Linked DNA regions of Astyanax mexicanus. The protein of the gene in region 1 purifies or fractionates together with the protein of each later gene. This does not show direct contact. Links are inferred from orthologs where the notes say so. Each region holds a gene or a part of one and is shown on either strand. Other genes may lie near its edges. The genes, in order: katna1 and katnbl1.

Region 1 (16,627 bases):
ATTTGCTAGCGCGCGTGCTTGCGTAGCTTAGAGGAAGGTATCGTCGATCATCTTTTTGATGCTCGAGACCATGACATCATTTCGATCGATTTCCATAAAATATCGAAATCGTGACACCCCTATAGACTACAATTGTCATTGTCGTCTAATCATTACGTTGTAACAGAACCGCATTACACAACATACTGGGGACAAAAGGAACTTGGTCTGTGTCTCCAAAAGTGCCCAAACACAACAGATTACATATTTATTAACTAAATATCAGCACTCTCCACGCTTAAACAACATGTGGACATTTAAATGCCTTTTAAATCTCATGTTTAGCTGTTTCTCTGTTGTTTTTAGAGATGGAGGACATGGCAGAAATAATCGTTGACTAATCGAAAAAATGATCATCAGATTAGTCGACTACCAAAAAAAATGTTGGTTGCAGCCCTACATTACAATAGTACTTATAAAAGTGAAATAAAGTAAATTTTATAAAAAAAAAATAAAAAAAACTGTGAATTGTAAAAGTGGTCTCTCTCACACACACAAACACACACAGTCTCAGTCACTCACCTCAGTCACCACGTAGCCTGTCACTCATCTCGTCCACAGTGTCTGCCTAAACATCTAGCCAGATAGCTCATCATTGAACAATTTGTCTTTAATACGTTTAAAAATAAAGAAAACTTAAACAAATAAAATAAAACAAAACCCTGGAAAAAAAAAAAAAAAAAACGTCGAATAACAGTTCCGGCTAACTGCTGCTCTTATAATAACATTTAACAACAGGCAAAAAACTGATTTATGTAATTTATGTAAAAATTAAGCTATTTTGAGAAGTGACTGCCTATTTAAAAAAGCAACAGAAGTTGTTTATTTGTTTTTAAAAAAAAAATAATTTAATTTAAAAAAAAAAATGTATTTGTTTTTTATTTGAGAAGACTCCAGGAGCAGAATGTGTATAATAACTGCTTATGACTTCATTTTAGATTTTCCTTCTGAAAAAATAAATAAATAAATAAATAATAAAAATCAATAAGTTATTAAACACTGGGCTTACTTTCACATGTGAATCAGATTTACTAGCTAATCAACTTTAAAAGCAGACAGTCTTTTCTCTTCTAATTAAAAAAGAGTCATTTCTAAATTAGAATGGAATTTTTTAGTTATTTAGCTTTAAAAATCCATATTAAACTTTAGAATATCTTGATTTTCTCTTGCAGCCGTAAAGAGGCCTCACTTATCACATCAATCTTGGACACTAAGCAGCCTCACATTAGCAGCCTAAAGAAAACAGAAAAATATCTTTTTTTTTTAAACAGCACAAAAAAAACACTATAAAAAACTAAATACATGTATTTAGCTTTACACAATAGAACTAGTAACTCCAGCTGGTGTGTTTCAATAAATACATAAATAAACAAATAAATAAATAGGATGATGTGTGACCCTAATAGTAAATATTTAACATATGTAGTTAAAGAACAAAGTTGGAGCAGTTGCCTACTGGTGCCTCTGTGCTATTTATGCACTCAACATAACCAAGAGCCTCCAGCACCATTTAAAGTGGAACGGGAAAATTTTAAGAAGGATAATTCATTAATAATGATAAAAACTAAAAGAGAGGTTGGCTTTCAACTCACCAGAAAATGTTTGACCAGAAAATGTCACCCACAGCAAAAGAACAATAGAGACATAACAGTACATCTGTAAATGTTAGACACAAGACAAAGTAGAATTTAACAGCTATTCACCTGGGTACTAATCTCAGTGTTGAAAAAAATAATAATAAATAATAATAATAATACATTGCAGTGTTTGTGGTGTAGGGTAATTTACCACAGCACGACTTAGATAAAACTCGGATGTGAGAAATCTCAGAACATGAAATGATGACCAATGAGTCAGAGCTTAGAATTTAAAATATATTAAAGTTTACTTGAAAAATAGTTTCAGCATTACAGATATATAAAAGGAACAAAAATTACTAGATATATATTAGTAAAGAGTAAAAGTAAATCAACGAGTCAAAAACCTCGATAGATCAACACATTCACAACCCAGAGAGAGAGAGAGAGAGAGAGAGAAAAAAAGAAAGAGAGAGAAAGAGAGAGAAAAGAAACTAAAGCCAGTCGAGGGCCAGAGAGAACTCCTCAGACTTCATCCAAGCAGTTATACATTTATGCAAATGACGTGATTGGACAGAACTTATCAATATGATTACGTCAGCAGAGTCCAGTTAACAGTTTGTTGTCCAGTTTTAATGACGTGATCCGCTCCAGCCTGTCTGAGCAACAAGTTCTTATCATGATGTTGTTCAGCACTGTCTTTCATGAACACAGCAGACAGTCCTTAAGTGTCCTAAAGTCTGTGAGAAGATGAAACAGAGGAAAAGAGTGGATGGAAAGATCTTCTGGCCTGTGTGCGACTTTACGTCGTGTAGAACAGGCATGCGCTGGCTATCTGAGGAGAGGTTCCCAGCACTTCACTCAGAGAGCTTGTTGTCTCCTAGTTCATATGCACTGGTCCCAGAACAGCAGTGAAGCTTCTCAGCCACTCAGGGTCACGTTCTCCTCACAGCTCTCATTGTTGATGAAAACACTCTGACCTTCCTGATTCCTGAAAAAGTAAAAACAACCTCCAAAGCCTTGTGTCATTGTGACAGTTAAAAAGAGAGCAAAGATCATAAGGTTATTAAGTGAATTATAAAGTGAACAGTAAAAATAATAACTGTTAATATAAATCAACATTTAATTAAACATTTAAGAATAAGAGTGTGAAGGTGTGGTTATCTCTAATCACACCCTTCAGTGGACACCCCTTGTAATAGTGTATAAAGCCCCAGTATTAAGCTGTGGAGCAGTGGAACTGTGTTCTCTGGAATGATGGTGTTCATCCAATACTTTTAAGATGATGTGAGATACGATGGACTGGTTATCATCCAACAAGATTGTTTAAGAGTCGTAAAGAGGAAAATTCTAGCTTTAAGCTAATGCTACAGTGGCGTGAACTGACCTCACAGCTGCAGAGATCGGAAGGGGACTCTCTTCGGCACAACACCAGTGAACTCCGGACGAATGTTTACAGCATGTTACAGTCAGCTGATCCAACTAATGAACTAACTGCCCTCACTGAGGAGAGCTAAAAGTGCCACAGCAGAAAATCACTAACCCAACAGCACAGAATTACCCCAGAACCAGCTTTAAACACTGTACCACGTTTTAATATTTACAGTCTTTATTATGCTGTGAAATAAATTAGAGATGTTTAGTCTTTCTGGTTCGTTGTTTTAGCACATTAATCCTTGTTAGGATTTGTGGTTATATAATAGGTTTCAGTGGAAAAACACACACATTAAGCCTTTTAACATTAAGTATTTTAGACTCTATGGTTCTAGCTTTGTGATTCTGAAGTAACTGCTGCATCACAAAGCTCCCCTCAGCGAGGGCAGATAGTTAGTTGATTAGTTGATTATTTGGGTCAGGTGTGTTGTAATTAGAATAAACCAATGACCGTAATTAAATATTAAATCTGCAAGGAAGCGCTGCTTATTATCTGCCTTTTAAAGCTCTAACACAGACTACACTGCTTAACATTACACTGCTCACTATTACTGAGAGAGTTTTCACCTGTTTAAATACTTTAATGATCCTGTGTAAGAAAAAATATTAATCCAAAACGCAATCTGGCCGGAGTTAGCTGGTGTAGTGCAGAATTGAGCCTGCAGCCATTGTCTGCCGCTGTGCTGTGACGTTACGCATTAGCTTAAAGCTAGCATTTTTCTAATTATTACCCCTAAACAATCTCAAAATTCAGAGGATCCAGTGTTGTTCAAGATGTACATATATACAGAATAAAACGTACAGGGTTCTGAACATATTTATTTACCACAGTGTTTAAAATATTCATTTTTTTCATTGACCTGAACCGCTTAGACACTGAAACCCCAACCTGGCGCAGACTACAAAATGACAACACGACTTCAGTGGTCTATTCTTGTATCACTTCTTGTATTGTGTCTAAAAGAGAGGGAGAGGGAGAGAAAGGAGCTCCCCTTGTGTGCATATTCATGAAGCACATACAAAACCAAGATTTATATTTTATAGATAGATAATCCCTATATTATATTATATATAATATAGACAGATAATCCCAAATTGGTCCGGGGGTACCTCCCTGAAATTAATTTTTGCAACTTGGAATGCCCAATCTGTGACGTTTAGTCATTAGAATGGACGTCCACAAAGATTTGGGCGAGGGTACATTACAATAGGTCTGTAACGATTAGTCGATATAATCGACAATATCGATTATTTAAATTTGTAGACTACAAATGTCATTGTCGTCTAATCATTCATTTGTAACAGAACCGCATCACACAACGTACTGGGGACAAAAGGAACTTGGTCCGTGTTTCCAAAAGTGCCCAAACACAACAGATTACATATTTATTAACTAAATATCAGTACTCTCCACGCTTAAACAACATGTGGACATTTAAATGCCTTTTAAATCTCATGTTTAGCTGTTTCTCTGTTGTTTTTAGAGATGGAGGACATGGCAGAAATAATCGTTGACTAATTGACTAATCGATAAAATGGTCATCAGATTAGTCGACTACCAAAATAATCATTGGTTGCAGCCCTACATTACAGTAGCACTTATAAAAGTGAAATAAAGTAAATTCTTAATTTTTATAAAAAAAAACAAAACAAAAAAAAACTGTAAATTGTAAAAGTGGTCACACACACACACACACACACAGTCTTAGTCACTCACCTCGTCCACAGTGTCTGCCTAAACATCTAGCCACATAGCTTATCATTGAACAATTTGTCTAGAATACATTTAAAAATAAAGAAAACTTAAAAAAAAATAAAACAAAACCCTGAATAAAAAAAAATAAAAAAAATTAAGTAGAATAACAGTTTCGGCTAACTGCTGCTCTTATAATAACATTTAACATGGCAAAAAAAATATTTTTTTTTTTACGTAAAAATTAAGTTATTTTGAGATGTGACTGCCTATTTAAAAAAAAAGCAACAGAAGTTGTTTATTTGTTAGAGTTCATGTGTAACATTTCTAACATATTTTAAGGTGTTTCACTCATTTGTTTTGTCCCACAACGTTAATCCTTTACAGCTTCAAAAACATATATTATGCAAATTAGGCGATGGCGTCATTTAGCGACTTCCTGCAACTAGGACAGCCAATAGCTACTTTCCTTACTGAGGAGTTGGCAACACTAACAGCATATTACACACAGCTGATCCAACTAATGAACTAACTGCCCTCTCTGAGGAGAACTGAACAGAAAATCACTAACCCTTAGTGATTAGATTTTTTTTTAATTTATGCATACATAAGACCTAAAACATCATAAGATTTTCACTTATGTCCCAAAATTAGACAAAGAGAACTTAGTTAAAAACACATTTAACTTAATCCCATATAACCCATTGTGTTAAACTGTGTTAATGCTGCTACACCCAGGGGCAGATTTTACCACCACGCAATTGCGTGGGGCCCCCGGGATCACTGGGGTGGGGGGTTGACATATCTTGACATCAAAATTTCACACACTCCTAAAACTGGTGGAAAGCCTTCCCAGGAGAGTTGAAGCCTAAAACATCAACAGCAGAGCTGAAACATCATATTAAACCCTATGGATTAATAATGGGTTGTCACACAAGTTCATATGAGCGAAAATGTAGGTGAGTACAAATACACTTTGTATGAAATGTATGTGTGAGAGCGGTGTTCAGGAGTCTGAGGCTGCATCCAGAACCCCCCAAACAGTTGCTCTTTTGTACTTCCGTTCCCCCTCCTCTCCTCTGTGACCCAGAAACTGATTTCATGATGCCATCTTGCCACCTGTCTAAATACCAGAGGAGAAGAAAGAAGCCAATAACACCACAGTATGCTACCCAGGAAATGTTTTATAGATTTTGGGTTGGCTTTAATTTCAATTCAATTCAGTTTTATTTATATAGAAGTTGTCACAAAGCAGCTTCACAGAGAAAAAAACAGGTCCACACCTCTTATGAGCGAGCACCACAGAAATGCCAAAAGAATTGTGGTGACAACAGTGGCAAGGAAAAACTCTCTTACATCTTTGAGGCCTCGCCCACAAAGCACCTGAGCACAGATTTTTAAATCAAATTAATTACTTATTAATTCATTTATTTTTTGACATATGTATGTGTCGAAATAATACTTAAAAACACTTGTGTAATTGTTGAACATGTATCATCATCTATGAACAAATAAAAAAATAGATAAAATGAAATAAAATTTAAGAAATAAAAAAATAAGGCTTTCTCTTTTATTTGATTGGCAAATATTTCACATAATTTCAGAAATATAGAATTTTCTCTGCAATGAACTGGAGTTTACACATCCACATTTAACAGGATGACCATATATCATATGCTGAGATTGGCTGGGCAGTGTTAGGGGAGTTGAAAATGAGCGCTGTGATTGGCTCAGTTAATAAGTAGTCAACATTCTATTAAAAGGCATCAGCTGTCCCATTTTCTCAATTACTGCTACTTCTCTCCATTCTTCCTCCTCCTCCTCTATTCCTTCACCTTCTTTCGGGGTAGGAGAGGAGGAGTAACAAAAGTTACTGGACGCAGCCCCAGTGTAGAGACTTTTATTTTGAAGATAATTCAAACAGCAGCTGCTGTACTCACCCTGCTGGTGTAGATGTGAACTGGGGCGGATTTAGAGCTGGTTTATAGGGAGCCTGTCCACTTCCCATCTCTACCGCTGTATCAGAACATTACTAAGAACCGCTAGAGGGAGCCCGCGAGTGAGGCCACACTGGATGGGGTTGAATGGAGCTAAAGGGATAAAACTAATTAAAATAGTAAAACTACTTTCTCTGAATATTCCTTTAATTGTTAAAAGTATAATAATGTATTTTCCTAAAAATAAATGAAAAGAAACATACCAACATATTTTACTTTTTTCAGTAAACAGGTTTTAGGTAGTTTAGGCGCTCATTTTTGCTATTGTGCGCTGAGTGGTTGGTGAACTGATACTGGATTTACAGTCAGATCTCTGAGTTTAAAAGCTTAATAACTGGAGTTTTACCCTTTTAACAGGCCAGGATTTTTGTCAATTGTCTGCCTGACATTACACCTCTAAATCTTGGGGATTTCTATTTAAGCATTACATAAAAAGCTTTCATGTTTGATAAGAAACATTACGGAAAAGCAGAATTGTAATTGTAATAGAAAATATAAAAAATATATTTAAGCAAACCTGCTAATGTCAAAATACAATTAATAAAATCATAAAATTGGCTGAAATCCTGAAGAGAGAAAACAGCAGCTTCTGCAAGTGCCTTGTACGAGATTTCAAAGCCCTCAAATTTTCAGAGTGTAAAAAAAACTTATTTTACTGCAGAAAATAAGGGATTTCTATCATCTCCACCTGTAGCCCGTATACAGGTCAAGGCACGTTAATATGTTAAACGCTTTAAAGAATATCTCTGCAGTACTGAAACATTTGATAATGTTCTGTGTTGGGGAAATGAGAACATTTTTCATGATACAAATACTTAAACATTTATAAACTCTGATTTTGCTCCGTTTCTCCATATAAACCCATTAATTTTGGTCTCACTCGTGAGCGCCCCCTGGTGGCTCTACAATTCCAGCAGAGACTCTTAGCTCAGTGTGTTTTCTCCTCTCCAGAGATTCTCTCCCGGGTTTACCTTCCTCCGAAACTCTGCCAACAAGTGTCTGTAGATTTATTCTGAACTTCAGTGACTAATCTCTCTCTCTCAGATGCTGAAGTTCGTGCTGGAGGTGGATTGTTCGCAGTGGTTTGTTTTTTTACAGGCTGCTTCTGTTCAGCGCTGAGACAAGTGAGTTATTTCAGCTCGATCATACTGAACTAAACTTTATATAACTTACATGATTTTGATAACCTGCTCAACCAACGATTGACTGCTCCAGTCTGAGTGGAGCCGGTGTGTTACAACTAGTGTAGCTAATAGAGAACTATAGCGCTGTAAGAGAGTTAAACGGGGAGTTTTATCAGTTTTTGGGTGTTTGTCGTGGATTTTCTTGAATTTGTGAAGTTAATCTTAAATTACTGGGCTATTTTACCGTCAGTACAGACTTAGACAGTAACTTTCTCTTCGTTAACCGAAAGGTAAGCGAGCGAATTGTATTGTACCGTGTTTTTGTGTTTGGTTTATTTGTATTGACTCTCTTGCAGTCTGGCTGTAACTAGGTTGACTAACCTACGTGTTTTTGTCGCATTAGCATTAACTTATGTTGGCAGCCATAATAGTTTGCTATGCTAAAGGTTATGCTAATGTAGCTAGTTAACTAGGTTAACTTAGCTACTAATTAACTTAACTAAATTAAGTTAGTTAACCTTGTTGACTAGCTCAGTTAATTAGTAAACGCTAGCTACATCAGTTTAACAGTCTTCAAACTATTAGCTAAGCTAACTATCGCTATGCTAGTTAGTTAGGTTAGCTAGCTAGTTGATTAGCTTAGCTGGGTTTGTTAGGTAAGTTTAGCTAACGCTACCAGCCGTAGAGTCTGTTGGAAAAAAAAATCACATAACATTAGTTAACTTAGATAATTACCCATAGTTAGCATTAGTTAATCTTATTTAAGCTTTTTTTATTGATATTTATCGTGTTTGCCAATTAGTAAACTTACTAGCTAGCGGTAGCTAACCTAATCTAAATAAAAAGTAAAAAAAAAAAAAACCTCAGTTTTATAAAAATAAGAGTTAATACACACTAACCCAAAATAGGCCATCGAGACGTGTGTCACAGACCCTTCTACAGCTGTGTACTTAAATTAGTGGTGTTTTTTTTTATTCAATGTCCAATTATCCAGTTAATCACAATAGAATTATGTGATTAATCACACTTTTTCTTCCTTAAGACTATGCGTTTGATAATGGGTACCTTAATTACCTTAAATGTGTATAAAATAATCAGTGATAGAAACACATTTGTAGTATTGGTGCCAAGCTCTTAAAAAAAATAATCCCAACAATATTCTTTGACTAAATCATGGATAAAATCATGATGGTACTTAAGATACTGTATTTTTTGGAAAGGGTTAGTAATAATGGTGTAGTGTGGTTTACACTTTTTCTTTACATTATTATATAATTCTCAGGTTAGTTTTGATGCCCTTTAACTAGAATATTATAATGTGTCGAGTTACAGAGTTTTTTAACAGCTTGAAAAGAGAAAATGTGTGTAAGCATACACTTCAGTAAAAATAAAAGGCAATATACCTTCTGAACTTAACAGTACGCGTTGCTGTTTAATGTCTTATGCGTCACCAGGCTCTGTCAATATTGTCACAAGATTAAATTGTGTTTAAAAAATAAAAAATAATAATTCAAGATTTGAACCACTCAAAAAAAAAAACATAAAAACAGTCCACTTCGAGATTAAAGTCGTAATATTACAGGATTAAAGATCAAGAGTTGCCCTAACACGCTGTCGTACAGGTTAATTACATCAGGTAACTCGTTAATGTTGACAGCCTTAGTGTAAAATTTCTTACAGCACTTTATTTGTCATTTTAACTGATGAAATCTTAGTGAAACATACCAGAAATCTTAAGAGGATCACAGGACAGTTTTCACTTTAAAAGTGTACAACTACTAAAGTACGATGTTAAAATGCCAGTTTTAAAATTGGTGTTGTCAGGATTTTTATTTAAAAATATTTAGTCATGTGCCCACAATAGGAAAAAATCATGAATGGGTTGCCTGCTGGATTTATCTGATCAGTAATCATAAATGGGTCTGAGTTCTTATGGTTTAAGTTGTGAAATGTTCAGCAGTTACAGAGAGACTAGCCTTACTGACCTATTTGTCTTTTTTATTTGATTTGAGTTTCTTTCAGTACTAGCTATTATGTTCTGGTTATGGGAGGTAATTTCACTGTGTCCTCTTCCAGAATGAGTCTTGTAGAGATCAGCGAGAATGTAAAGCTGGCCAGAGAGTACGCCCTGCTGGGTAACTACAGCTCGGCTGTGGTTTGCTACGAGGGAGTGCTGGAGCAGATCAAGAAATACTTATATTCAGTGCGAGACTCTTCTTTACAGCAGAAATGGCAACAGGTAAGACTACAGCCTCCCGGGACACTGGTATGGTAACCCCTGGAGTTACTGGAACTGTCATTACTAATTGCCCAGAGGCAAGAGTTGCTGTTTGAACTGCCATTGTGTTCCACATTCATGCAAACATTAGTATAAAGGTGAGGCAAGTGGTTTGATGTGTAAATAGTCTGATTGTTTTGAGCTTGTTTGTGTCCTGTGTTCAGGTATGGCAAGAGATCAGCGAGGAAAGAAAGCACGTGAGGGACATCATGAGGACACTGGAGAGTTTCCAGTTGGAGGCTGCCCCGTCAAAGCCGAGCAGTTTCAGCCAAGAGGATGATTTTATGCCTGCCCAGGTGGAACATAGGTATACCCATAGAATGACAGGTTATTTTTCATCATTTTGAAAACTAAGGACAGCTATGTGATGGATATATCACTAATGCTGAGTGAAGTCATGCCATTTTATCTATGACTTTAAGTCAGTGACATGGCTTATTTACAGGGGTGATAGCGTTCCGGCGCAGCGTGGCTCTATAAAAAAAATATATATATAAATAAAATAAATAAATAAATAAGTAGAGCCGGTTCAGGTATTAAGTCCCGCCTCTCAGTAGAAACAGCCAATCAGCTTGCTGTTTTTGCGGCGCGCGGAGGAAGCCCCTCCCTTGCTGTGAGATTTAGCAGCGGGATCGGACGCAGCAGCTTCAGCTGATTTAAAAACAGATCTGGATATACGGAGATTTTTCTCAAAAAAAGATAACGGTAGGCTAAACACGTAAACTGTGATGATATGTTTCTGATAGCTGGTTAAAAATACACTTCTTGTATCAGCACACAGATTAAACCCACTGTGATTAATAAACTGCAGCTGTGTTAGTGAGTTAGCTTGAGTTTGGAATTAGCTAGATAGGGAGTCAAGGTTTTAGAAAATAAATAAACTATATATGTAATGTTCAACTTGCCCTGTACCTGATCAGCTAATCACTATTTCACATATTTCACTGTCGTTATTAGTTTAGGATTACAGGAGAAAATGAATATAGCTAATTAGCTAGAAGCCAGATGTAGTGGATAGTCAGAATTTAGTACAGTACTTTATGTTTGTAGTTTAAAGCAGTTTCTTAACCCTGATCACTGAACTAAAATTGTGTTTTCCACCTGATCTTCATTTCACCTAGATTTTCACCTGATCTTGATTTTCACCTAGAGTGACAGCTGTCACAGTGAAAATTAAGTGGAGTTATTCACCTCCTTTTTTACACCTCCTGAACGGATCAGTGTTTTTGGGGCCGATTCCGATCGCCGGTCGTCTTTCACCACGATGGGCCGAGCGCCGATACCGATCTTGGGCGGGGCCAAATGCCACATTAATGCCACACAGGTGCCTGGCAAACCTGGCTGGTACAGATTCCCCTAATTACATCCACACCAAAGCAAACACTGGTAATTTACGCTGCTAGTAAATAAACATGAATGTTACTGACCAAAATAAATGCTTTTTAGGAGAGATATAAGTTCTGTGTAAATATTTATAAGACAATACCTGACAAAATCAGTTTTAATGACGTTAAATAAACATCACTGTGACAGCGCTAGTCGCAGTTTCACCGCAGTAAAGGACGAGGAGGTGAATCACTTATCTAAGCAGCCTTTACTGATTTCTGCTCCAATAACCCTTTCAATAACCTCCAATAGCCTTTAATAGTCTTCAGTAGCCTTCAACAGTCTAACCTTGCAGCCGTGGTGTGTCCACTAAACTCCGTAGTTATAAACATCATGAGGTTAGCAGCGCGCTAACTGACCTGTTTATAATGTAATCCGAGCAGTGCCTCCGTGACAACTGCTGCTGTTAGCTGCTTTGGCTGATAGGTGAACTGTAGAGAGCTGTATTATCCGTTTTTAAAACCTTTTCCTACACAGATGAACTTAAAAAAAACGTGTAAAAAAAAACGCTCCAGACTGGCTGAGCTGAGCTCTGTAGCCCGTGGCTGGGCTGTAGCTGTGACTGAGTGAAGAGAGCGGGGCTTGTGCTGCTGCTGCAGCTCCCACTAGTGGTTGGATGAGTAACTGCAGCTTCTTGTAAGTGAGCAGTTTCACCGGTTTCACCAGTTTCATCCACACACAGCTCTGATAAACTGCTTAACCCTAAACTCCTGAATCAGATCGGCTAAAATCATAAGAATATCTGCAGAACAGTGTTAATATGCAGAAGAATATACAGAACAGTGTTAATATGCAGAAGAATATACAGAACAGTGTTAATATGCAGTAGAATATACAGAACAGTGTTAATATGCAGTAGAATATGGAGAACAGTGTTAATATGCAGTAGAAAATGGAGAACAGTGTTAATATGCAGTAGAATATACAGAACAGTGTTAATATGCAGTAGAATATGCAGAACAGTGTTAATATGCAGTAGAATATGCAGAACAGTGTTAATATGCAGTAGAATATGCAGGATCAGGGTTGAGAAACACTGCTGTAATGTGACTTCTGTTCATTTGTAGTTCACAGTAAGACCACATGTCCTGACGTTTATAAAAATCTCTATGAAACATAAAGTTACATTATTTTACACAAGGACACCATCTTAAGAAGAGCTCTCAGTAGAAAAAAAATTAAAAGTGCACTTTTTTTTTTACAAGAGTGGAGAAAATGTAAATATGAAAATGAAAACGTTATCTAAAATGTGTCACTTGACAATAAGGTTATACACAGACTATTAAATGTTTGAATAATGTGTCAACATTTATGCCTATGTTACGTCACACATGCAGTCTGTTGTCCCTCCCCAACAACCCCCCTAACCAGAGCATCTGAAGTTGGCACTACAAAACATTGCAACAATGCAATAAATCATTATATGACATTATATGAGTGACACGTCAAGAATCTTCAAGCCTATGTTTATATACTGGAAATACATATTATTAATGATAGTGATTTTTATTACATAAAGGGCTATTGGTGCAGTAAATGGCTTTGCCTTCTTTTGTTTTGATACTCTGAGCTTTGATACTTTGCTTTAACTGTCTTTGCAGAGATTAGACCTCCAGCAGAACTGTCATGTGAAGTGGATTAGTATCCACGTGGCTGAACTTGGCCTACACACAGGCAGCTGTGCTTTGTTTTTTCCTTTTCTTCCATTTAAAGTTATTTAAAAGTAATTTGACTGTAATCTAGTTTGAATATGCTTCATTGTGAATACAGGCACATCAGTTTAGACCTGATTAAATCAGTTCCGAATTCCATTAAAATATGATTTTGGCCAGAAATCACAAATTTTCCTCTTATATTTCCTGAAGTTGATCCACAATGACAAATGTGCTGTCTGAAGTTTGCTTTGAGACAAAGGCAAATGTAACTTCAGAGATTGTGTACTTCAGGTTAGTAGTGGGTGAAATTGTGTGTGATCGTGTTCAGGCCATCTGCGGTTCGGCGGGCTCCAGTGCCATACAGAGAAGGTAAAGCACATGGCAACCGAATAAGTGTTGGACCTCGCTCTCAGCACCGACAGTCACCACGTGTCCAAAACGGAGACCGAGCAAAACCTCCAAAGGGCAAGGAGAAGAAAGACAATGGGTCCAAACCCAAAGAAGACAAGGTAAGAATAGGCATGAATGAATGGATTTGGGGGAAAAGACCCTGTATTAACTAAAGTGTAAGTCTGTTGTGGTCTACTCTTAAAGGGCCTGCAAATACACATTGTAACCGTACACTTCATTCTGTCTGAGCAAAATGCCTTTGGCTGTATTGACTTGACCTGTGATACCGGTTTCCCCTATTTGTGCAAATAAAGGCAGATGAGAGCTAAAACAAAGATTTAATACTGAAACCCAGGCTAAAGTTGTTCTATTTAATGTTAGTAGTAATTTGGTAAATAAAATATACCTATTTGTGGGTTTGTTAAAGTAACAGTTTTGAAGTTTGTTCAAGTGTCTCTGCAGAAATAACTTAATAAATTGAACTAAAGCAAGCATTTTCCCTAGATAACAGTGCACTAACCTACTTTTACCTACTCCTACACCTGCAGAGCAAACTGGTTGCCTCAGAGACAGAAGTAAAAAAGTTTGACAGAGGCGGAGAAGACAAAGATCTGATCGAGACATTGGAGCGAGACATCATCTCCCAGAACCCAAACGTAAAGTGGTGTGTTCATCTCCTTCAATTTATGGCAATTTTAAATCTAGAGTTTGCTTAAAGAATGTCACACATACATGCTTGCATCAGCTCTAAAAACACATTTAAAAAATCTTAATGACTGCAGAGCTTAAGTAGTTTCCATTTCCAGGGAGTAGCAAGGCTTTTGCTGTGTGGTCAGTAATAGGACTGCACATCGGATACTGTAAATAAACTGAAATTGCAATATATAGCTCTGGAAAAAATAAAAGACTACTTGTAAATGTTGAATGATTGAAAACCTTTGGAATGTAATCAAGGGAAAGATGGATGATCACAAGCCAGCAAACCAAGCTGAAGTGCTTGAGTTTTGCACCAGGAGTGGCATAAAGTTATTTAAAACAGTGTGTAAGACTGGTGGAGAACATGTTAAGATGCATGAAAACTGTGATTAAAACCAGGTTTATTGCACCAAATATTGATTTCTGAACTCTTAAAACTTTATGAATATGAACTTTTTTTTGCATTATTTGAGGTCTGAAAGCTCTGCCATTTTTTATTTTATGCTAATAAATGCTCTAAATTGGAATTTGGAAGAAATGTCCGTAGAAGTGGTTTCGTAATTAATTGTAAAATAATAATATTCAGAATATTTTTTTCTATCGATCGATCGATCGATCGATCGATCGATTGATGTAGATAACTGGTTAGATAGCATAGTGATGGATAAGCAGTTGACTTGGATGCTTACTCAGCTGTTGGGAAGGGGATGTTGTGCTACCCTGTGTAGTTGGTTCAGTATTGTTGTTATTGCAGCTCCTACAAATAAGCACAGAAGAGCAGTTAGGATAGGAACTAATTTAGACCGTGTTTTAGTTCATAATCATAGTTTGTGCCATTATCTTTGGGAAAAGGAACATTTGATGTCTTTCTTTGACAGTTTATTCTCACAGTGTTGCTATCTTATTCCAACCGTCTGAATACTGGCTGTAAGCCTTGCAGCTATGCTGCTCCAACTCTGCTGAGTACGGCTGATGTGCCTGGTAGCACTGCACCAATCCTGCGCCAACCTTTCTGGCACTGAGCATTGTAGCTACTTGCTACAAATCCTTTTGTGAAAGTGATTTAAAGACTTGAGGTTTACTTGTTAGTTTGTGGAGGAATATTTGAAGGGTTGTTTTAACTGATATAATTCATTGTGTACATTGTGTGCCATTTTGCATGAACAATGCTGTGTGGGGTCACTGAATTGTCTTTTGTGGAGTGTGGAGATTTTCCAGCGGGAGCAGCATGTGCTAAAATATGTGTTAAAATATAATGATCAATAAAAATGCTTCATAATTATTTGGAATCAAATATTTATGCTCTGACTTCCTTTGAAAGTCAACAATTTTTTACCTTTTTCTCGTAAAGTTGCTTTTTGCTTGTAAAGCTGTAAAGTTTTATTTTTTATTTATTTATTTTTTATGTGACTTCAACGTTATTAATTGTTAAGCCAATTGCCAAATCCAGAAATTAACATTTGGCTTTTACTTTTAGAGCCATCACAAGACTCAAGAAAAACATGCCAATGAATTGTGATGTTTACTGGACCTTTATACCCTCAGGGATGATATTGCAGATCTGGAGGAAGCAAAGAAGCTACTGAAGGAAGCAGTGGTTCTGCCCATGTGGATGCCAGAGTTCTTTAAGGGAATCAGAAGACCATGGAAGGTACAAATGATATTTGCAGTAATAATCTATACTTTTATATAGATTATCAAATGAGATGCTGTATAAAGTGTGTCTATCAGAAACAAAAAAGGGTTTTTGTGAAAGATATGTGCATGATTGTAAAAAGTGTACATATGAATACAGTAACTAATTCGAAATTTGACACAGACTTTAGACTTACAGTGCCATCTGCTGGTCAGATAACCTTTTGTTGTTTTAATCAAGCAGTTTATTTTAAACCAAAATGTTGTGTATTTACAGTATATATGTAATATTATTATATTATGTATGTAAAATTGCTATTGTAATATTATTCCAGGGTGTGTTGATGGTGGGGCCCCCTGGTACTGGAAAGACTCTGCTGGCAAAAGCTGTAGCAACAGAATGCAGGACCACTTTCTTCAATGTTTCTTCCTCCACCCTCACCTCTAAATACAGAGGGGAGTCTGAGAAGCTTGTGCGTCTCCTGTTTGAAATGGTGAATACAATTATTTGTAGTGTTTTATACTTTAATTTGCACATCTGAACCTTAATAGATGCTATAGTTTGAAACACTTTAACAGGTTTGCCTGTATAATAAATGTATGTGGTCTTTTGCAGGCACGATTTTACGCTCCAACCACCATATTTATTGATGAGATTGACTCCATGTGCAGCCGCAGAGGAACATCAGAAGAGCATGAAGCCAGCCGAAGAGTCAAAGCTGA
Region 2 (17,463 bases), about 29 Mb from region 1:
CAGAATTCATGCGTCTTTTTGCTTTTACGTATGCGCTACGTGCTTCTCTCTTGTACCCACACATCTCGCTGTGCAGCTATAGCTGCAAAAACAAGCCGAATGGCATTTGTTAAACTTAAACTGTGCATGTACCTCAGACCAGCTGCTCACCTTTATAAAGCTAGGAGTCCTCTCTCATGTTTTTTTGTTGTTGGTGAAGGAGGCGACGTTTATACACGGATCACTGTGCGCATGTTAGGCGTTTTAAGCACAGATTCGTTCACATTACACACAGATACTTACATTTGTGAATGTGAACAGTCAAGGCCAAATCCAATCACAGCAAAAAATTGGATTTTAACAATAAGGCTTGTGAATGTAGCCATAGTTACTTTTAAAAAGTAATCTGATTAACTTTACTGATTACTTCTTTAAAAAAAAAACACTAAGTTACTTTATGGATTACTTAATTTTAAAAGTGACTTTGAACAGCTACTGACAACACCCCCCACCCTCACGCACAAACACCTGCTGCCTTAACAAAGCAGTTTTGCCAAAACTCACTTTACTGGAAGCTTTTTTCCACCTTTCGGACTTGTTTTTTAAGTGTGCCACTGCGACTTCAAATGTTTCTACAAATTTGACGTTGTGTTTTTGAAGCTAGGTAGCACTAGTTTTAGCTTGTTGTTATTTTGGTGTGGTTGCAGCCAACAGCAACCATTGTAAATTCCAGCAATTAAGCAATGACATGTTCCTTTATTCTGATAACTGCCTCTCGACCATGGTTGTGATGCTCAGGAGAGCTAGTTTCCACCGTAGCTCTTACCCCTTCCACCCGTTCTGGGGTAATACCCAAATTTACTGGGCAAAGTACTGGGCATTTACTGTAGCCAGCTTGGTCATGACATGAAAATAAAAGTGGCCGTGCTAAAACAACAAAAATGAGCGAGAGAGAGAACTGCATCACCTAGGTGACTACACATCCACACTACAAGTTAACTAAGTAACACTTTACTAGCATGCCAAATTTCATCAGCCTTATAAAGAAGTACAGCCACTGCTGGGACTTGGTGTGTACTGTGAGACCAGATAAAATCCTTACTGCTGTGAATGCAGAGCAATTTAAACAACTTAATTTTCTGGAACAATTTGAGGGAATAGATTGATTAACTGAGAGAACAGATTCGCTCTCTAAATATAACTTTCTACCTTGTTTAGAAGATGCATACCAGCATATAAAGTGTAAGCCAAGGTATTTAATTATATTATAATCCACCTTCTATTCCATCAAGAATACACCTGCAGCATATAGTTGTACAATCTCCTCAGAAAAAAATATTGTATGTGGTTTCAGACCCTAGCCATTTAACCAGTGTAAAATGTGGTACACATTTCAGCTAAGGTTTATTTGCAGCTACCTTTCTCCATTTCATCTTATGTTCAGTCTGAGAATTGAGATTGAGGTCTGGTGGTTTTATCAGTCAGCCAATCTGCCTTGTTTTCATTATGTATACTGAACCAGTCACTGACAGTGCTTATTGACCACAATAACATTGGTTCTGGGTTCATGCTGAAAAACCTACTATTCTCTAGCTGGAAACAAGCTTTGATGAAGCACTCTGTTAAAGGAAGAGTGGGTCAAATGTACAGGACCTCTAGAGACTGACCTTACACAACTGGTGCTGTTATTAAAGCAAAAAGCCATGTAACCAGGGATAAAGAAGGTAAAGAAAGGAATTTGGCAAATGTTCGGTTTTGGCTTGTAAAAACTCCCTCTCTCAAAATGTAAGGTTTTATAATAATAATAAGCATTGTTGGCAGATTTTGTAAATTTATTTAAAAGCTGATTAAAAGAAAAATCACCATTACTTATGCACGCACACATACAAATATTTCAATCATGAACAGGCAAAAGAGAGTGAAAGACCTAATAACTTAAGACTGCTGGACTTGGAATTCTTCAATCAAAGTCGGTGCACCATATGCTCAGAGACACGATACATTACATCATCACATCCACTTCAGTAGACGCACACCGTGGCACTACCAGTGTGTCAGCTAAAACCTCCGATTGGCACTTCTGTGAGTTGCCTGATTCCATACAGTCTCATGGAGTTGAAAGTGTGCCAGTAATTAATAAAGTCCACTTCAATGTGAAGCAGTCGTTCAAAGTTTGCAGGAAGGGTTTCACCTTTTAAGAAATGTCTCCAGTTTTGATGTAGGGAGTGTCTGAATTGTTTAGTTCATCTATCATCCCATTCACAACAGCTTCCTCCTCTGGAGTAATAGAAATCATCAGTTCATTTGGCTGCAGTTCCTCAAGGAGCAGCCCAGAAAACTGCAGCAAGTGCATGTAGTGGTTGGTTCCTCAGTGTGCTACATTGTTACTTCAGCGTAATTGTGACAGATATGATTCAATAGCCTAGAGAGAAAGAGAGAAGGAAAACATGAATAAGAGACCCAATAATACTTCCATAACATATGCTAAAAATATAAATAAGGTGCACCAAACCTTGGTTATTTCACCCACGGTTCCAGGGACTGAGGCCAATCGACTCTCCTCATCCCATAAGTCAAGCAGCTGCCTTCTCATAGCTTGAATATTTCTGAAATCCAAAATGTTTTGTACAAACTTAAATTTGTAAACACAATAAAACATAGTATTGTACTGTACTGAATTGTATGAGCACTTTTTTAGGAACACTATACAAGTACACATGGTAACACCTTAAGTCTCTCAAGACTTAATTTAACTTAACTTAATTTCTTAATGGCACGGTTTCCACAAGATTTTGGAAAATCATCTTTGAGATTCTGATCTATTATAACATAACTGCATTATGCACTTTTGCCATTAATTTGGCTGACAAGATCACTGCACAAATTGGCACATACATAGTTGTTCCTAATAAACTGCTTTTGTAAAGATTTTGTTAATAGAGATAATACCTGTCACTTGAACAGCCATCTTGCAAGCGTTTGCCATCTGAGTATAGTTCAGGCCACCATTTTTTAATGACAGACTGAACCCAGTGTAAAGCCACAATGAGGTGCCTACATGAAAATAAACAAATTATAACAAAAAAATAATTAAATATGGGTACTTCCACTTGGAACTGATTTTCACAATAAAAAATAACTTACGCTTCAAATTTACTGAGAAGAATTGTCTTCACTTGTGGAAAAAGGTCTACACAACAACCAATGGATATACATTGCTGTTCGTCTTGAAGGCTAAAAAAAAAAAAAAAAAAAAGAAAAATATAGAATACTGTTAATACGATTCAGAAGTAAACTGTTATTCTACTATCTTAACTATTCAATGCAGTGCAGCAAAAATTATTAATTTTATTTCTGAATGCGTAATACTAAATATATACACACAGAGGGCGAGGGGGGGGGGGGGGGGTACTTTATGGTTTTCACAGTTTGTTTAACTTACCTTTTTGTAAGTACAGGTAGACAATCAACAAGGACCCCAGTGTCTTGTATTCTGTACAATAATACATAAAAAAACAACTTACAAATTCTATTGCAAATACACCTAATACAACACAAATGCAAAAATCCTTTTTTTTTTTTTTATCAAAGGTGAAAGATGACTAAACAGTCTGTAAAATCTTTACCTGATCAAGTAAGCCACAAGTTCACTAGCATTTCTTCGCCAAAGAGTTAAAGCAACATTTAATCTGAGATTCCTTCCAAACAGCACATGAGTCACTGCATCATGATCCTTTGATAACTTTAAGGGAAAGAAAAATGTTATTAGCATAGACATCAAAACATTAATGTCTGTCAATAGGATCAAGCCTACTAAAGGAATACTGCAGTAATTTTCAATCTCATTCTTCTGCATCTGTAGTGCACAATAGATCACCAATTTAAATATTTTTCTATTAGGGATGTGATAAGACTCATCTCACAAGATGGGACACGATATTCACACGAGTTCATGAGAATAAGATGAGATGAGATTTTAAAAATCTTTATATACACTTTATTTTAAAACTGAAATGTATAAATGAAAATATTGTATTTCACTGAACGAGATCTTGTCACATCTCTACTTTCTATAATTAAATACTTCTATGTTCCTGAGTAATTAAAAATTGATTTTTATACTTTTAGATAGACAGATTTTAAGCAAGCTATCTGTTATGTTGTGTTTCCAAAAAAAAAAAAAAAAAAAAAAAAAAGTTTAGTACTATAATTTATCACTTGTTGATCTGCAGCTTCCCTTAGTTTATTCAAAAGGAACTCACCTCAGTAAAGCAGTCACTATACTTGGAGCCAGCTCCTGCCATTTTAGAGGCTTCTGTCAAGTTCACAGGGAACCCACAGTTTTCCTTATAGTGAATGCCATCAATGTCCTCGGCACATGTCAGTTCATTTTCTTTGTTTGCCATGTCAGAGGACCTGCCTGCTGAGGGTGCTCTCCGGCGTACACCAGAGCCCACTGCTGAGAGACGTGTCTTCTTGCTCACCACTCGCTTTGCTTTGCCGTAGTTGTGTGCACAACGTCCCACTGGAAATCTGTCAACAAAGCAGAACCCTCTTTAATGCTTAGTGACAATGTTTTCATCATTTTGCTTCTTTCAATTTAGAAACTGGGTTATGGCTCATCAATTCATCCCAACATTGAGATAAACAGATCATCATGCCCTTATTGCCATGGCTCAAAACTCACCTTTCTTTATTTATTTCTTCCTTATTTAAATAATCCACCTAAAAAGAGAGGATAGGCATACTAGTATTCCTCGAGTCGGCAAAAGTAGCTTTCACTGCTTTTAGCCAACATTTCCCGTCATAAAACTTGCAGTTCAGGGATGTCAAAATGTGTGAACTCACCTCCCTCATGTTCTTTCCATCTCCAAGACAGTTTTGGTGTTTGAAAAGATCAAAGGACTGGGCCTGCATGAGCCTGTGGAATTCTGCATCATTCCCAACATGATTTCCAGTGGCCATAATCAAGAATTCTAAAGAACAATGACAAAAATGTACTCAATGCATGGCAACTACAGTTTTTTCATAAGGCATTGTGGTCCAGACATGAAGTAAAAATACCATGAGTTTTATGGCTCAATCTTATGTAAAAAGAATGATTTATACTTTTGTTTCGAGTGAGCACGTTGCCTACACTCTAGTATTTGTAATGTCAAGATGGTGGCACCCGGAGAACTACCTCAAGGTTCTGTGTGTATACCTTGTGTGTACACTGTGTGTCTTTTTTATTTATTTATTTTATTTTATTTATATATTATTTTTAAAACAAAATGCCAGTGCACTTTCAAATTTCTTAGTGCCTCATTTTAAATGTCAGGGCCCTTAGAATTCAACCAATGAAGTGTGAAATGCTATGCCCCCGCTAGCTTTGGAAACCTGTTGGGAGCATCAGCTAAGAGCACTGGAATGCTCTTAGTCAATTTCACACCAGATTTCTTCTTTAAGATGGTTTTAATACTATAAGCATAGATTCATTTCTTATTCACGATGAGAACAACAGCTGTGACTGCTACAAAGAGTTTTTTATTTACTATCACAATCAGTCAGTGATCCGATGTGTGCCTTCTGTTTCAACCTGTAATGTTAATAAGGGTAAAAGGGCTGTAGATTTAAAGGATACCTCTAGTGTAAAATTGACTTTGGGTGTAGTAAAAAATGATAGAGTACTAACCTTTGTTGACTAGCCCATGTTCGTTCTCCCGCAGCTTTCTGAGATCCAGTCATTTTTTAGCAGTTTCCACACCTCATTGGTAGAATCTAAGGAGCTTTGACATTTAAATCGAGGCATTAATAACTTCAAAAGTGCACCAGAAACTTATTAAAAACCCCTGTTTACATCTCACAGCATAACCTAATCTCTGGGCACCCAAGGTTGTAGCTAACGCTACAGGTTCTAAACAGTGGTTTTAATAAGTTTCTTGTGCACTTTTGAAGTTATTAATGCCTCGATATAAATGTCAAAGCTCCTTAGATTCTACCAATGAGGTGTGGAGCTAATCTGAGCCTGGATAACGGTGTAAAAAGCAATTTATCGGGTCAAAATATGCCCCATACAATCCATTCTAAAGCATTTGTGGACAAACTGAATAAAAATTGCTGGATCTCAGGAAGCTGTTGGAGACCGGAGGTGGGCTATTCAACAAAGGTTAGTACTCTTTATCATGTTTTACTACATCAAAAGTCAATTTTACACCCGAGTTATCCTTTAATTAAGTGTTATTAGCACTATCTGCCTTTAATAACGCATTTCAAGCCCAAATTTAATTGGAAAATTGCACTGTAATTTGGTCCAAGTATGACATATAAATTTATATCCATAACCATTTGAGGTAATGTAATTTGTTTTTTAAAGACAATATAATACATTTATTCCAATAACTACAACTTTAAACAATTCTGTATTCCATCAGAGATCCAACACAACAAACTAGGTAGTATCTGACTTATCTTAAGTCACGTACGGGAAGCAGTCCCAATCAGTTTGACAACATGTAGCTAGCGGCAAGGGCCCAGTCTTCCAAAAGCATCTTATTGCATTAAGAAAATCTTAACATGGAGAGAGAGGGCTCAGTGTGAAGCTTGCTCGTCCATCTAAGAATTATCTTAGTGCTAAGAACCTTTTGGGAAAACCAGCCCAGGACTTTACAAACCACTTTATTAATAACGGATTAAGACGTATATGCTAAAGCTAGATACACTTTACTTAAGTTAGGTTAGCTAGCGGTATCTTACATAAGTATTAGCTATAATTAGCCAACACGGATACGCGTCAGGAATATGTAATGTATCTAATTAACGTTAAAATACCCAATTTTGTGAATCAGCTTTGTCAATGTAAGCTAACCATACGTTTTAGCAAGACAGTTAAATCCTGCACGCAGCAATGGCTTAGCTAGGTAGCTAACGCTAGCTAAACTAGCTAGGTTTAAGCAATCCCTAAAGGAGGAGTTTCCAAAACTCAGAAATGGGAAATCCATGCCCCGAATGTATAAATCCACTCCAGGATTTAGTCCCAACTGCATGGCTGGCTGCAAACTGCAGCGAACCCAATCAAGGCAGTTGGAACGAAATTCTGGAGTGGATTCCTCCTGTGTCTAAAACAGAACTAACGTTAGCTCCTCGGCGTGCTAACCCAGCTAAATAACCTAGCGGTAACGTTACATGTTTAGCCGCCATGAGCAAACAGATTTTGTCAGTCTGGACCGAATATAAAACTGCTAATAACAGGTAACCTGAACGTAATTGAGTGAAAACCGGCACTTTAACGTTGTTACGGTAACGTTAGTTAAAACTTGTGGACGGCCGCCCACCGTTCTATTAGCTAACGCTAGCTAGCTAGCCAGTTTAGCTACCTTGCTAATTAGCAGCTATCACGTTCAGAGTCAGCCAAGTAGTTAGTTAGCTAGCTAGCTAGCGTTAGCCAACCTAACCTAGCTACCTAGCTCATACAGACAAAAGACACAGCATTATTTCAGCTAATTCATTTTAATCTACCCCAGCCGAGACACCCACGAAATCAACTAAATAACAACTCTTCACTACTTCTCTATGCAGCTAGCCAACGATAACAGCTAACTAACTAACCTGTGGTACCGTAGTTACACAATAACATATGGCTGCTTAGTCCCTTCAAGTCTGATCATAACGAAGTTCTCCTTACCATGGCATTTTTGTCAGTTAAGCTCAGTTTCTTCAGCTTCCTACGGCAATATAACACGGTGATAATCTGTGGATGAAACACCAGAAAGGATGACAGCTAGATTTTAATGCACATTCACGAACTGGGCGAAGCCAGCACCATTCAAATAAATACAAACTTTGGCTGCTGGGATTGTGGGATTGAGGGGAGTCTCTGGCGGACTCAAAACCAGGAGCAGGCTGGAGTTTGGCGACCTTCACCGGCGAAACGTGGAAGAGCCTGAAATTTTAGCGTCGTCTTTATCTCCATGCACTTGACTAGAAATTCTATTTCTGATGTGACATTTCCTGTTGCTAGATTTATTGTTCGTCTTTATTTGATAATATACAATGGAAAAAGTATTGAAAATCACAAAAAAATAATAAAAGAAAAAAATACTGTAGTAATAATAATAAGGTGAAAAGGTGTCATTTAAGGTTATACAGCTCTGGAAAATATAAACAGACCACTTCAGTTTCTGAATTAGTTTCTCTGATTTGCTATTTATAGGATATATGTTTGAGTAAAACAAACATTGTTGTTTTATTCTATAAACTACGGACAACATTTCTCCCAAATTTCAGATAAAAATATTGGCATTTAGAGCATTTATTTGCAGAAAATGAGGAATGGCTAAAATGAGTTTTAAGAGTCCAGAAATGAATATTTGGTGTATTAACCCTGTTTTTTAATCACAGTTTTCATGCATTTTGGCATGGTCTCCTCCACCAGTCTTACACACTGCTTTTGGATAACTTTATGCCACCCCTGGTGCAAAGCAGTTCAGCTTGGTTTGATGGTTTGTGATCATCCATCTTCCTCTTGAATATATTCCAGAGGTTTTCAATTTCAATTTTTTTGTGGAATAGAGAAAGAACAAGAAACTTGTTGAAGACAAACTTCTTTTCAGTATCATAGACGGTATCATAGACATTTAGATCACTGCTGGTGAATCAGATGACCTTAGAAATGGTTGAATTGGGTGAGTGGAAATGACCACACCTTCACACCTTCACACTTATTCTTATTGTTGTTTTACATATGTATATATATATATATATATATATATATATATATATATATATATATATATATATATATATATAATCTTTATGAACTTGGCCTTGGAGGTGGTTTGTACTTTTATAGGAATCAGGAAGGTCAGAGTGTTCTCATTAACAATGAGTAATGAGGAGAACATGACCCTGAGTGTCAGAGAAGCTTCACTGCTACACTGCTGTTCTGGGACCAGTGTATATGAACTAGGAGACAACAAGCTATCTGAAGTGAGTCAGACACTAAGTGAAGTGTTGGAAACCTCTTCTCAGAAGAGGTATACACAACGTAAAGTTGTACACATGCAGGCCAGATGACCTTACCATTTACACTTATCTTCTGCTTCATCTTCTCAGAGACTTAAGGAAACCTAAGGACTGTTTGTATAAGTCTCAGTCCTCTGTGCCAGAGCTTTGGTCATCCAAAAAAACACTAGCTAGCCAATCAGCATAGGGTATGTTTTTACTAAACGACCAGCTGGTCTTGTCCAAAATAACATAGAATACTCCCAAGTAAATTATCATTTAATTTAAAACTTTCTGTACAGACAGACTTTGTGGACACACTTCATTTGAATGTTTTACTCCAAGGCAAACCTTACACTGAAGCTCTTTATATTATGAATTGTTTTGTTAAATGTCATTGCTCATAAAATCTGACATTGCTAAGAACCTTAAAATATTTAACAGTAAGTGAGCTGACACTGGAATCTGGATGAAAAAGCCTACATTAGGCCTCCTATTCAGACAGCCACAAAAATTCACTCACCACTGTTCAGTGGGGCTGTTTAACCATAGCCTAGACCCTACTGAGAATTAGAATTTGATCCTAATCACAAAGATCCAGCTGCAGAACAAACATGCTAGGCTTTCAAATTGTAGTGGTTTAGATCACTGTTATATAACAGAAACTGACTTTGAATTTAATTTGAATTTTAGACATTTTAGGTCTGTTTGACTTCATGAAAGATTAATAGCAGATTTGATGTTTATGCTAAACATATTTTTTTTATTTTAAATAACAGTATTAAATGATTGACAGTCTGTGGGTAAAGTTTTTAAATGATGCGTAACTGAGGATTTCTATTATCTGTGCTGGTTGGCATTTTGTGGCAGGATGGGAGCAACTCAGTATTTCAACACAGCAAAAAATGAATAAGCAAAAATATAAAATGTATATAAAACTCAAGATGTATATGCTTATATTACACAAAATCTCCCAGTTGAATAAGCACATTTTTATTAATAAGATTTCCTAAAATAAGCAATCTCAAAATCTTTAAAATAAGACAAGTATATTCCCTGTTTTTATATCATACATTTGGACACAGGAATCAGAATAACTTGACTGAATGGCAAGTTCAAATCACTTAAAATCCTTAGTGAGAATAAGGGGCTTTGTCCCACAATAATTTTACATTTACAATGATTGGTAAGAGATAAATTCAATCAAAAAAAAACAACCAAACATATTTAATCTCATGAACATGCAGTATTTTTATGAACATGTAAACTCTCAAGTATTATGGTGGACAGGAACTGACATGAGTATAAATAAATAAATGCACATTTAAATTAATAAATCAATACTCCTATTCATGTAGCTTGCCATCAGCTGCTGGAGCCCTGAGAGAGAACAATTGGTCTTGCTCCCTCCGGGTGGGTAGATGGTGCTCTCTCCCCACATTAGTAAAGGGTAATTTCTGCAGCACAAGGCATCTGTAAACTGATGTACCTGAACCGAGTCGCTGCACTTTTCTCCGAGTGCACTGTGATACTACTCCACAATGCTGCATCAGCAGCAGCTCGAAAAGAGGATAGGTAGCTGACTTCACATGTATCGGAGGAAGCATGTGCTAGTCTTCACCCTCCTGGTGTGCTGGGGCATCACTAGTGATAGGGGGAGTCATAATGAGTGGGTTGGGTAATTAACTGAGCAAAATTGGGGAGAAAATGGGGAAGGATTAGAAATAAAATTGTATTAAAGAAAATTTATACATCAATGAATAAATAAAAAAAATAGATAAATAAATACACAAATAATTGTATAGATAAATACATTAATTAAAACACACATTTTGTCATGAAAAAGTACACACCTAAAACCTAAAATTCGTTATAACAGGAATCTATTTCCATATTTTCATGCATGAACCTTTATTTGGGTCTGTTTCTACATTTCTGCATTTATTTATACTATTTTTGATTGATGTTTTTCTACATTTATTTGTTTCTGCATTTCTTTATTTATTAATTCATTTATTTAGTTCAACATTTTAACATTTATTTATTTATTTTCCCCCCACATTTCATCATTTATTTATTTCTTTATTTCGTTTGTGTGTTTATTAGGTAGGCGGTCCTATCCTCACTCTAAAGCAGGATTAGTCAACTGGTGTTTCAGACAGAAGCAACCGGTTTCTAACTCTACTGTTAGGTGCCGGCCTTTCTCTCAGATTTGTGTGGTTTGTCAGTGTTCTTAGCTGATTCATGTCCATGTGGGGAAAAAAGAGAAATATAATTAATAGTCAAAACATTAAAAATAAAAACATATTGCGAAAGCTTTGAGGACCAAAAGGCACAGCATTCTGAAAATGACCTTTATGTAAATGTTAATAACCCATCGAACCAGGACCTTCTGAGAGGCGAAGCAGCTAGCTAACATGGATGAAGAGATTATGTTACTACAATGTGCTGGACTCACTGAGAGCAGTCATCTCTTCCCCTTAATCCCGTATCCTGCTTTTTGCCCTGGTGATTACGGAGGCCGCTTGCACGCTGCAGTCCTGGGGACAGAGTGAAAAGGCATGTTGCTCTTGGCTGTACTTCCAGACATCAGAGCTTAATATCAGTAATTGTGTTTGCATTACGTAAGACTGTTTGAAGTGATTCTTCTCACAAGTGCTGCTCTGTTCTTTTCGAGGGCAGGCTGCCACTGCTGAGGCTTAGGGCCATAGCTTCTATTTCGCCTTTGACCACAGAGCGGTCTCCTATGATACGCCTCAAAGCCATAGAGGAGTTTAGTCGCACCATAGCGTTTCAGCAATGCCTGAGGATTCAAAGGGAAACAACTATTGCCATTAAAAACAAATGAAAGGGGCACAGTGATTTGTGCATGTGTTTCTCTTCGGCACAAGTTTCATGGACCATTGCTTTTTCCCACTACTGAATACTACTGGGAAATTAAGAATAATTATATCACTGGGACAGACAGTGCAGACAAAAAAAAACAACATTTTCTATCAGTGATTTATTGTGCTTTTACAAATACGCTCTATGACAAAAGTATCAAGGCACCCCTTCTAATCAGTCATTTAAGTTTATTTAAATGACAAGAAGCTCAAATGCACACACAAACATACACACACACATTTTATATAATCCCCATTAGAAATGTCTTGCTGGCAGGGCAGACATTTGCATGCAGTATTTTAAAATGCAAAACACAAGCCCATTTTTATTCATTTAGAATTATGATGACTATTAAAGTTCAAGGTCATAATGCCCAATGTTAAAAGGGATAAAAAGCCCTCAGTATTGATGGACTTCTGTCCAATGAATTTGGGATGTGTCAAAGTGGTGTTTGTGATTCAGAATCACTGATCATCCAACATTAGTACCTGACCTCAGTAATAACATTTTGTGGCTGAACACAAGCAAATACTTACAGCAACTTTCCAACATCTATGTAGGACTTTATCAGATGTATACAGCTGTTATTGCAGCAAAGAGGGAACAATTGATACCCTTGCTTTCAGAAAAAATGTTGGACATGCTGGTGTCTACAGTCTTTTGGACATTAAGACCCAGATTAAGTCTAATCCCAGACTGAGGAGAATTTCCAGTGGAGATTCCCCAATGATACTGCACTTTAGCCCAAAAATACACTTAATCCATGTCTGGGAAACTTGCCCGTCTCTTACTCTTGTGCAGCAGGGCTCTCAATGCCTACAAACTATACTGTTTAAACTTGTTTAGAAAGAGGGGCCATTTAAATAGAGCTTTTAGTACACAGCTGTCAGTTGCACCAGTCAACCAACTGCTTGAATGCAATTCAGAATAGTAAACAGCTTCAAATGCCAGATGTTATTTCTGATGGCTTTTTATAAATGGCCATTTTTGTGTACCATTGCTTGCAGTTTCTTCTTTTGTTCCTCACCATGTTTCTGGAGCAGTGTTTGGAACAATAAGGCAGTGTTGAATGAAATGGATGGAGTTCAGCTCAGGATAAGACAATTTACACAACATCTGTGATGTATTTTGAGGTGTCACTCGGCTAAGTAGGTGGTATTTAGTACAAGCAGCTGATCCTTTGTTGTAGTGTTGCAGTGTTGGGCAATGTGGAAAAAAACACAACATCCTGCTGACACTTTGAAACCTAAGCCCTTTGTTGTGCAGATCACAATATACATGTTTATATTTTCTGAGGTTTGTTAAGACGGATTAGACAAAGAAATAAGAACCGGAAATGTTAGTATTGGATCAGGCCACAATGTTCTTCACCACAAGATGGTAGTGTAAAGCTGTAGAGTCTGTTGTGACCATGAAGGAGCTCTGCAGTTCTGCAGCTCCCACTGTGAGCTTTTACTGAACTTTCACTGAGCTTTTACTGAGCTGTGAGACTGCCAGAGCCTCCCCCACGGATTATAGCTACTGTTTAGGAGCCTGTAGACAGATATAACTGTGCTTAGGTTACACAGTCTTATTCAATGTTCTCTGTATGATCCACTCTCAGGTCATTCAGTACATTTGTTTAAATTAAAATGTATCCTCAAAATCCTCATCCAATATGAAGGGGTTATGAATAAGGATTGCATCAAGAGTTCAACTAATTATATGTTACATAAACATTTTAACCCTAACCACCGACCATATTTGTCTTCAAAAACTTCTGACCTCTATGTTAAAAAGCAGACCTACCTATAATCAGTGCAATTCTGAACCTATGTGAACCTGTTTTTGATATTGTGCCTCAATGAATTTTAACTTCAGGGTAACATATCTATATTAAATAAAACACATATGATTCCTTTACATACATACACCCTTAATTTTGGGGAAATGTATGTTTATTTCTAAAACGCCCTCCACCACACCCAAAGCAAACTCAAATAAATTCACTTTACTAGTGTTTGTGGGTCTGGGTTGCCTCAGCTTTCCTTTCACTACCAGTGCCTCTCCTGAGTGAGGGTTAAGGGTCCAACGAGGCCCAGCTGGGACCGGTTCTGTGTCCTAGCATGGAGTGGACCCACAGTTCCCCCGTCACCTCACGTCACAGTAGCGATCACAGCTTGCTTTAGACTCACTGAGCTAGACTTTCAGTTGTAAAAAGAGGGCAGATTGTTCGAATCCTGTTCATGTAGCTTGCCATCGGCTACCGAAGCCCTGAGAGAGCATAATTGTCCTTGCTCTCTCTCTGGGTGGGTAGATGGCGCTCTCTCTCTTCCCACAGGACTCTAAAGGGTGATGTCTGCAGCACAAGGAGTCTGTGAGCTGATGTATCGGGACAGAGTCGTTGCGCTTTCCTCCGAGCGTGCTGTGATGCTACTCAGCAATCCTGCATCAGCAGAGGTGGTGGCTGAATTCACATGTATCGGAGGAGGCATGAGCTAGTCCTTACCCTCCTGGTGTTGGGGCATCACCCCTATAAGTGGGTTGGATAATTGGTTCACATATGGTTCAGTTAATGTAGATGTAAAACATCCTCAAATCAAACTGACATCCTGCATTTTTAGCTCTTAGTCACTGTTTTGTTAGATATCTACTCAGGAACTCATAATGTTTAAACTTAAAAATAATGTGGTCTCAGCTAATATTAACCAAAGACTGAACCAATCAGTTTACAGTCATATTCTGCTATTTTGTCCCATAGTTAAAATATTTCTTTAAACTATGTGACATCTCTGTGCATTAGTGTAAAATAATCCAGGTCCTTAACAGTAGGAGCCTTAACTTCTTCCTAGTCGAGAGATCAAGTTATACAAAATTATACAATAAAATATATTTATTTTGTATGCCTTGGTCCCACAAATGCAGTTTTTGTCAATAACTTAGGACATGTAATTGACAGGAAATACCAAGGCTATTTGCTTCACCTCGTGTCCTGTCTGGCGAGTAGGTAGTGTTTTGATTTTAGGCAGCCCAGCCATTTGTTTTGGACGTTGCCGCAGAGGGGACTTATGAAGAGTGGTTGTATTCAGAGGAGATCTGTATCTGTCCCCAGGGTCTGGAGTGAGCAGGTCTGGTTCAGGAAGTCTGTGCGCTAAAAACACAAGACTCTTACCTGTAGACCTTAAACTCAACACAGTGAAGGACCTCATTCGCAGGTATGTAACACGTGTTGAGAAGCATCCTGGTGAGTATTAAATGAAGGTACAGTTGACTGGAGAACACTGGAGTAGATCATGTTTCAAAGGTGTAGGGCCACCCAGCTGTGTCTAGGGGTCCATATTCTTCCAGTCAATAAATGCAATATTTTACTTCTATTAAATTCCTGCCGGTTTCGGTAAGAGAGTCCTCAGTTCAAAGTTTCACCTGCAAAGCAGCTACCAGTTTGCCATCAGTTACTGTAATCTGCTCTGCCAACTTGTGTAAATGGTAGACAGTGTGGTCTTGCGGTCGTAGCGTCTGTTCTGGTAGTAAAAAGGTTAATATGGCTGGTGATTTGCTGTCTGGAAGAATTTTTGGCACTTTGACAGTCACACTGCAGGCTGCCTCACACTTAAGTAACCTACACCGTTGTGCCCATTTATTCTTCTGTGTTTGAAGCCTTGTGCTGAGCAACATCACCCTTTGGTGTGATGTGGGGATTTTTTTTGTTTTGCTTTTTGGTCATACTTACTTGCCATACTCAAAAGTGGAACCTTTTGGAAGGTGTGTGTCCCGTTACATCTGGCATCAAACAAACACATAATTTCAGAGAAAGGACAACTCTGGACAACTTGCTGTAATTGATGGAACCATTAATTTTGCTCTCTACCAGAAATTCCTAAAGGATAATGTCCGACAATCTGTTTGTGACCTAAAGTTCAGGCGTACTTGGGTTCTGTAGCAGGACAATGATCTAAAGCACACCAGCAGGTCCACCTTGGAAAGGCTAAAAAACAAACAAACAAATGAAGGTTTTGGAGTGGCCTAGTCAAAATCTGATTGAGATGCTGTGGATGAACTTAAACAGACAGTTCATGCTTGAAAAGCCATTGTGGCTGAATTAAAACAATTCTGTAAAGATGAATGGCCCAAAATGTCTACACAGAGATTACCAGTTACTCATTGCCAGTTATCACAAACGCTTGATTGCAGTTGTTGCTGCCAAAGGGGGCACAACCAACTTTTTTAGGAAGGTTTAGGAAAATATTTTTCATACAGGGCCAGGTTGGTTTGGATAGATTATTTCCCTTACTAAATTAAATTATCATTTAAAAACTGTTTTTATATATTAAATCAGGTTATATTTCTCTGATATTAAAATGTGTTTGTTAATCTGATGTATGTAAGTATGATATGATAAAAATCAAAAACAACAGAAATCTGTAGGGGGCAAATACTTTTTACAGCACTGTAATTTGACCTTAAGACTGTGGTCGTATGCATAACTGACTACCCCTGAAAGGTGTTTGATTGATCAGATTATGAAGTTTTGGTTATGATCCTTGATACACTCTGTATATTGTACACACCTGTAATTTTTTACTAGACAATTATAATGTAATCACTCAGGATGGATGTTAAGGGTCAAGTTTTTTGCTCTGACATAATTATCATATAGGGATAGACCAATAATTTAATGAAATCACAGAACTCTTTTTTATAACTGTGTATGAGAACGTTTTAAAAAATCTCACTTGCTAAAAACCTTCAAGTTGTAATTTAATTAAATGAAAAGCATATGACAGATGTTTGGGCGGATTTTAAGATCGTGCTGTGGAGGTTTACTGCCAAAGAACACTGAATGTGTTATCCATTGTATTTATGAAAAAACAAGTAATTAATTTAATTTTAAGTACAGAACATTTGGTGTTTAATCAAGGAGGCGTCTCTCTTCAGAGTTTGGGCTGTAGAAACTAAAGTGTTAGTCTGTGTCATGTTGACTCGCTAATGGGAATGCTCTCTGACAGAATCGTTTGGAGGCTGGGATTGTGTTCTTTTAGAAAATAAAATAAAGGCTCGCTCAGTGGATGAGCTCAACACTGCAGGCTGCTGCATTTGAATAAATCCATACTGTATATGTTTCCTGACTGAATGCATACATGCTATGAGTGGACAAAGCAACCCTGTGTGATCAAATTAGAAGAGGAAGAGATGGAAAACATGCTGAAGGTAGGGAAACAGTCGCTGGCTGTTTGTGAGCCAGCATTTTGCCGTGTATAGGGTGTGCCAGGGGCAGGGACAGTGCCGGGTCTCCAGACTCTGACGGGCTGCTCATTCAGGTGGTAAGGTGATACCCGAGGTGGCGTACGAAACTTGACTGCAGACTTGCCTCTCATGTGCCAGCACAGGATACAGTGGAGTTGGAGGGGCCATTCATCATCGTGCCCAGGGCTGGACGCATTCCATGGTGGCTGAACACCATGTAGACTTCCATCCCTGTGCTGCACAGAAACTTTACAGGTCACTGACTTGGTTAGTAAACCTACCAGAATAACTGTAATAGACCAGTGCTTCACAGGAGTGTTTATCAAAGGTGCACATGCTCACAACATGCACACATTCAGTGTATGGCTTGTTCACAGTCTTCACTAGGAAATT

The links.
Region 2: the proteins of katna1 (region 1) and katnbl1 purify together in Homo sapiens (affinity purification with mass spectrometry; 3 studies listed by BioGRID and IntAct, counting the BioPlex papers as one, with this or other methods). This does not show direct contact. The link is inferred for Astyanax mexicanus from reciprocal best matches to the Homo sapiens genes KATNA1 and KATNBL1.

What each region holds. Positions count from the first base shown.
Region 1 is NC_064408.1:47,385,629-47,402,255, reverse strand, and holds the start of katna1 (katanin p60 ATPase-containing subunit A1), read left to right. Parts: upstream 1-7,670; 5' UTR 7,671-7,864; intron 7,865-7,903; exon of another isoform or gene 7,904-8,154; intron 8,155-9,940; 5' UTR 9,941-9,941; coding exon 9,942-10,103; intron 10,104-10,306; coding exon 10,307-10,449; intron 10,450-13,511; coding exon 13,512-13,692; intron 13,693-14,121; coding exon 14,122-14,237; intron 14,238-15,814; coding exon 15,815-15,920; intron 15,921-16,239; coding exon 16,240-16,398; intron 16,399-16,520; coding exon 16,521-16,627. UniProt on the Homo sapiens protein: Catalytic subunit of a complex which severs microtubules in an ATP-dependent manner. Microtubule severing may promote rapid reorganization of cellular microtubule arrays and the release of microtubules from the centrosome following nucleation.
Region 2 is NC_064408.1:76,331,225-76,348,687, forward strand, and holds katnbl1 (KATNB1-like protein 1), read right to left. Parts: upstream 7,844-17,463; 5' UTR 7,643-7,843; intron 5,726-7,642; exon of another isoform or gene 5,654-5,725; intron 4,956-5,653; 5' UTR 4,945-4,955; coding exon 4,828-4,944; intron 4,705-4,827; coding exon 4,667-4,704; intron 4,513-4,666; coding exon 4,242-4,512; intron 3,722-4,241; coding exon 3,606-3,721; intron 3,473-3,605; coding exon 3,422-3,472; intron 3,214-3,421; coding exon 3,124-3,213; intron 3,034-3,123; coding exon 2,929-3,033; intron 2,586-2,928; coding exon 2,492-2,585; intron 2,402-2,491; coding exon 2,369-2,401; 3' UTR 1,216-2,368; downstream 1-1,215.